Callithrix jacchus: one gene and its partner. The protein of the gene in region 1 interacts with the protein of each later gene in a biochemical or structural test. Links are inferred from orthologs where the notes say so. Each region holds a gene or a part of one and is shown on either strand. Other genes may lie near its edges.

Region 1 (3,828 bases):
TCTTCACTTACTTTGCAATCTTCTCCTTGAGAAGCTTCCAGTCCCATAGGTCTGTGGGAGTAACATTCCACATATCATACTGAAGAATCTAAGGAATACACAACTCAAATTTATTCTACAGCAAGTTAAAATTATGACCAAAAAAAAAAAAAAAAAAAAAGACTAGCTGCCATGCCCCACATCCCAAACAAATGCTGTCTTCTAATCGACCTCTATGATGAGGAATACATGCTCTAGAGATTTTCCTGGACAAAATTCCATGTAGTCATATTAATCAGAAGTAGGTTAAGAAAGCTGATTATCCCACATAATATCTACAAACCAGAAAACTCTAACATTCATGAAAGCATGTGGCTGATAACATTTTTTTACAGTAAAACTGTCACTTTAACCTTGTCTTTCTTCATTGCCTTGATCTGTCCCTTGATCTGTTTACTTAGCTAAAAACGCCTATTTTCTAATATCAGCACAGAATAGATTTTCTAATATCAGCAGGAATGTCAGAAATGAAATTAACATTTTATGTAGAAAAGAATCACATTACTGATAATAAAGGCAGAATTCTAAGACAGCTCCCCAGATTCCCACACCTTAGTGCACAGGCTGTTTATAATCTCCACTTGAGTGTGGACATGACCTGAGAATAGGATGGATGTCACTCCAGTGATTATGGCAAAGGTGAAAGGTTTCTGCAGGGGTAATTAAGGTTGCAAATCAGCTGATTGTGAGTTAAATAAAAGGAAGATTACACCAGGAACAGTGATTCATGCCTGTAACCCCAGCACTTAGGGAGTCCGAGGCAGACGGATAACCTGAGGTCAGGAATTTGAGACCAGCCTGGCCAACAGGGTAAAACCCATCTCTACTAAAAATACAAAAATTAGACAGATGAGGTGGCACACACCCATAATCCCAGCTACTTGGGAGACTTGAGGCAGGAGAATCAAATCACTTGAACCTGGGAAGCGGAGGGTGCAGTGATCTGAGATCACACCACACACTCCAGCCTGGGTGACAAAGTGAGACTCTGCCCCCACTAAAAAAGCAGGGGGGAGGTGGAAAGGTGAGAGGGTAATTATCCTATGTAGACCTGACTTATCAGGTGAAAGCCCTCAAAAGAGAGACGAGACTGTGCCCCATTTGAAATGAGAGATTGTCTCCCGACTGGCCTTAAAGAAGCAAGATGCCATGAATTCTCAAAACATATTTTGCCAACAACCAGGTGAGCCTGGAAGAGAACTCTGTGCCTCAGATAAGACCACAGCCCATACCAACATCTTGAACACAGACACAAAAAGGGCCCAGCTAAGTCTGGACTCCTGACCTGCGGAAACTGTGAGATAATGAATGCATGTTTTAATCCACAGAAAACTAACACAAGCAGCATCCCTCTTACATTATTTTAGCAATGACTAGTTCTAAATAAGAGATTAAAACAGAATATCATTTTTACTCCAGAGGACAAAGGTATTAAAGTTTCCTTCAGCTGGTGCAACAAATTACCAAAAACTTGTAAACTTAAAGTAACAAAAATTTATTATCTTATAGGCTGAAGACCAGAAGCCCAAAATCAACATGTTGGGAGGGCCACACTCCCTCCAAAGGCACTAGAAGAGATTCTGTTCCTTGCCTCTTATAGTGGCTATCAGCATTCCACAGCTTGTGGTTTTAACACTCCAATTTCTGCCTTCATAGTCATGTTGCTTCCCCTTCTATGTCTCTTGCCAGACAACTGTCATTAGATTTAGAGCCCACCTGGATGATCTAGGTAAATCGCCTTATCTCAAGGTTCTTAATTACATCTGTAAAAACCCTTTTTTGAATGAAATTCACAGGTTCCAGGAATTAGGATGCGGACATATCCTTTTGTCGGGTGACCATTCAGCCCACTACAGTTACTTATAGGCAAAAACAATTTCATCCATATACTTACTCCTCTGCTAACTGGAGAGCCCTCATAGGTTTCATATGGTCCATGCTCTTTGGCAAGGTCACAGCTGGCTTCCAGGGCTCCGTAATAAATAGTTTCAAAGATCTGCTTATTCAATAACTGAGCTTCTGCACTCTCAAAAGGGTATCTCATCAGGATAAAAGCATCTGCCAGACCTTGTACCCCAATTCCAATGGGGCGATGACGTTTATTTGATAGGCATGCCTTTGTGTCAACAGATTTTAAAGGAGAAAACATTACTGAACAGGAAAAGCAACATTCTACACCAAATGAAAGAGATTACCTCTTTTATCTCAGCTTTCTCACACCATTTTATTGATAACCATTTAAATGATGACTTGCAGATCATGACTGATTCCTTTCAATTTGGATTTCAATCATTGCCAATAAGGAGAGAAATCTATTCATACCTCTGGTACAGGATAGTAGTTTATATCAATAATTTTATTCAAGTTTCGGACAATGACTTTAGTGACTTCAGCTAACTTCTGAAAGTCATATGTGTGTTCTGATGTGACATACATATTCAGGGCCAGGGAAGCCAAATTACAAACAGCAACCTGGAATGTAAAAAAAAAAAAGGTCAAGAATCACACAATTTTTATTTCTACTCTCTGTATCAATCACACCACCACGTGAGCCTCTAAGACTCTCAGACATTAAAATTTTAAATGTTTATATTTGACTTCTCCCTCTTCACCATTCATCAGTCTATTTCTAAATCCCACTGATTCTATTTCAATACCTAATCATATATGTTAGTTATAACATGCATCAGCAAAATAGGTAAGCTAGAGAACCCAGTGTTCCACAGTACACATCTCTATTACCAGACATATATCACACTATGTTATAATTAACATTTTACATACACTTATCTCAGTATTCAGTAGATGACTGCCTGCAATATGGTAGGCACTAGCTACATGTATCTATTTAAAATGAAATAAAATTTGAGTTTTTCAGTTGCACTAGTCATGTTTCAAATGTTCACTAGCTGCCAGATAGAGAATATTTCCATCACTGCAGAAAGTTCTTCAAAACACATGTCTACCTCACCTCACTGAAACTCTGACAAGCTTAGCAACAAAGGATCCTAATTTTTGAATTTCAAAAAAGCTCTTCCAGTGATTCCTCCACTACACTACACTAGGCAGTGAGCTTCTTAACACAAGGATCACATCTTATATATATTTATATTTATAGCACTAGCAACACATCTGGCATACAGTAAGTCTTGATAATGTTGAATGAATATACTTCCTTTTCCATTTGGATTATGACCATTCCAACCCAAAGTCTCAACTTCTCTCACCTGGCATCAGTTGAACTCTTGATGCCCTTCACATCAACTCCATTCTACACATGTTGCCAAATACCTGTTTTTAAAATATAGCTTGGATCACAGAAGTCTAATAAATGCCAGGGAGAAAAATAGGCAGGAAAAGAAGACAGAGAGTACTGGGGATAAAGATGAAGGGGTGTCATTTTTAAACAGAGTTGTCAAGAAAAACTTCACGGAAAATATTGCATATGAACAAAGAACTAACAGGTTAGAAACCAAACTATGTGGCTATGGGGAGAGGGGGTGCATTTTAACATTCAAGTGGCAAGAAAGAGCAAAAATCTTCAGGTAGGAGCATGTCTGACATGTTTGAGAAACAGCAAGAAAACTAATAGGGTTGGAACACAGTGAACAAAGGGGAATGCAATCGCAGATGAGGTGCGTTAGGACTTTGAAGGACATTGTAAGAACTCTGGATGGAAAGGAATGAATAACTGAAACATGCTACAATATGAATAACCCTTAAGCGCATGCTAAGTGAAAGAAGTCTGACACAAAAGGCCACATGTTATATGATTCCATTCATATGGAA
Region 2 (2,947 bases), on another chromosome or scaffold:
GGCGGCTTTGCTGTTTAGATAGTAATTTGGTTGTATCTCTTACTATGAACAGATCTTTCTTGACATAAATTAGGAAATAATTGAGTGCTCAAAGAAATCCTATTTTATATGTTTCTATTTCCTGATCTGTAAATTGAGCATAGGATATAAAATATCACACTTTGTCACAGAATTGTGAAGAATTGGATGAAATATATATAGAAAGAAATCTTACAAGGGTGCAGAACGTGATGCTACCATCCATTGACAAGAGTTGCTGTCGCCAGTTTTTTCTCAAGCTTGACTTTGTGTTTTGCCACTAGGTGGAGCGATTTAGCCAAGAAGTTCAGATCACAGAAGCCCGCTGTTTCTATGGCTTCCAAATTGCCATGGAAAACATTCATTCTGAAATGTATAGTCTCCTTATTGACACTTACATAAAAGATCCCAGCGAAAGGTGCGTATTCAAGTGGTATGCCAAGATTTTTAGGACTCTTTAATTGTTGATTTGTGGCAAAGTTTTAGTTCATCTAGGGATAAAAATGACTCCAGAATGACTAAGCAGACATAGACATTTCCAGCACCCGTGGTCATGTCTGCTCTTAGCAAGGGGCCTAAATTCACTTTATTATTCACGTAGAGTTGTGAAGGTGCTCCACTTTTAGAGTTGGATGCCTACCAATCTAAAGCCTTTTTTTGAAGGAATTCCTACATGTTGGGTAAGACAAACTAAAACCTATGTCTGACCATCTTTGGTCATTTGGTAAATTTGTTGAGAAACTAGAATGTGGGGCTGCAGCAGGATGAAGGGCGGGGAGGACTTCCTGCTGAGGGGTTGCAGTACACTACAGGCAAATAAGAGGAGTTACACAGGCAGAGGCAGCAGTGAGCCCTGAGATGGATTTAGGTATGCAGCAGTTTGACTGAATAAAGATAGCATTAGGTCTGTTTTATGTTTTGGAGATTGATTGGAGGCGATGGGTTAGAAACGGGCTGTTGGAGTAGTCTAGACACTAAGGTCAGCTTTAGGGACTGGAGCCTCCATATGGAGTAGAAGTGGTGAAGCTGAAACCTAATGTGGCTGTTGTAAAATTAGAAGTGCATGAACAGGAAAGTGGTAACTTGAAAGGACTGAAGAAACTCGTTCTGGGTGAAGAGATTTGAATATGTTTATATAGGTGGAAATTGAGAAAAGAAGGCAAAGATTAGGGGTACGACTGGGGGCAAATGACCAGAAGGAGAATGGGTGGATTCAGGAAGTTCTGGGGAAGCCTCAAAAGCAAGGGAGAGGCAGACCCAGGTCTCAAAGAGAAGGACAGTGAGATGGAAAGAGAATAAAAGGCAGCCAAATGTGGTAGTGTGAGTCCCAGCCACTTGGCACAGCGAGGCAGAAGGATGGCTTGAGCCCAGGAGTTTGGTTTTAACATGAGCTATGATTATTTCACTGCACTCTAGCCTGGGCAACAGAGTGAGACCCTCATCCCTTAAATAAATAAACAGAAATGAAAGCTGCCCAATGTCTGGTGACCTTGGCTTCAGAACACAAGGTCATCTGGTAGGAACAGGCTGAGAAATCAGTAGCCTCTCAAGGTGGGCACCAGAAGAGTGGTAAGGGAGACCCACTTAACTAATACCCATGGATTTACTTTGCTGACCTGGGATTGACAGTGTAGGACAGAATTTTAGTAGGAAGCAATCTTTGTTTATTGGTTTAATTATTTTATGATAGAGATGTGGCAATTGGGGCCAAATAATGCACCCAGGGATAGTCTGATAATAGCATGGCAGTTAGGATTTTATGGTTCTTTAAATTTTATGGTTCGTCACATGGAACTATGACCTGGACTTGAAATAATAAAGGCAACAAATGTCCCTGCTGTACTGACCCACGTTTTACTGTTTGTAGACCCTGAAGCTCCATATGAACTACAGATTACCCACATTTGTATTAACGTAAATCAAATGTTGAGACTTTTAAAAGAACACTGGAGGGAAAAGCTGACCAATAAAAATAAAACATTTTGACATGGGTTCTTCCTTTGAGAAGAGAATCAGCAAATACTTGAATTTGGCCTTTGTCCCAGAGCTCTTATCTAGCAGCTGGTAATCGGGGGTCTTTTACTGTAATACTTCAATTGCTGATGCTGTGTGTGCCTACTAGGGAATTTCTCTTCAATGCCATTGAAACGATGCCTTGTGTCAAGAAGAAGGCAGATTGGGCCTTGCGCTGGATTGGGGACAAAGAGGCTACCTATGGTAAGGAGACCCTTGCCCCCACTTCAGCTTGAGCTTCATTTTCCATGTAATGTTACTGGATTGTTGACCCTTCCTATGAATACCAACAGTTACTCACTAGAATCCTATTGCTGTTAACTCTTAAATAGGTGAACGCGTCGTAGCCTTTGCTGCAGTGGAAGGCATCTTCTTTTCTGGTTCTTTTGCATCCATATTCTGGCTCAAGAAACGAGGACTGATGCCTGGCCTCACATTTTCTAATGAACTTATTAGCAGAGATGAGGTGAGTCTGAATCAAATCATAGGGTAACTGGAGTCCCAGACACAACTCGGGCATGCTCTGGCGTTTACTGATGGGGACCTGAGATACTAGATGGCATATATCCATGTTTAATGTGTGAGTTCGACCATACACATACTTGACAAAAGAAGGAAATACTTTAATTTACTGAAATTATTTTACTTGTATTCTCTATAATACATTAGTATATACCTATTGCCTTATAGGCTTTGAATGTGTAAAAAAGTACAAGTTTGTTTTTTGGGGGAACAGAATCTTGCTCTGTCGCCCAGGCTAGACTGCAGTGGTGTGATCTTGGCTCACTGCAATCTCCGCCTTGCAGATTCAAGCGGTTCTCCTGCTTCAGCCTCCCAAGTAGCTGGGATTACAGGCGCCCATCACCATGCAGGGCTAATTTTTGTATTTTTGTAGAGATGGGTTTCACCACATTGG

Evidence for each region.
Region 2: the proteins of RRM1 (region 1) and RRM2 form a complex in vitro, tested with the Homo sapiens proteins (3 studies listed by BioGRID and IntAct). The link is inferred for Callithrix jacchus from reciprocal best matches to the Homo sapiens genes RRM1 and RRM2.

Annotation. Positions count from the first base shown.
Region 1 is NC_133511.1:69,574,949-69,578,776, reverse strand, and holds part of RRM1 (ribonucleoside-diphosphate reductase large subunit), read right to left. Parts: intron 2,512-3,828; coding exon 2,362-2,511; intron 2,156-2,361; coding exon 1,934-2,155; intron 89-1,933; coding exon 12-88; intron 1-11. UniProt on the Homo sapiens protein: Provides the precursors necessary for DNA synthesis. Catalyzes the biosynthesis of deoxyribonucleotides from the corresponding ribonucleotides.
Region 2 is NC_133515.1:104,869,778-104,872,724, reverse strand, and holds part of RRM2 (ribonucleoside-diphosphate reductase subunit M2), read left to right. Parts: intron 1-302; coding exon 303-436; intron 437-2,140; coding exon 2,141-2,235; intron 2,236-2,363; coding exon 2,364-2,497; intron 2,498-2,947. UniProt on the Homo sapiens protein: Provides the precursors necessary for DNA synthesis. Catalyzes the biosynthesis of deoxyribonucleotides from the corresponding ribonucleotides. Inhibits Wnt signaling.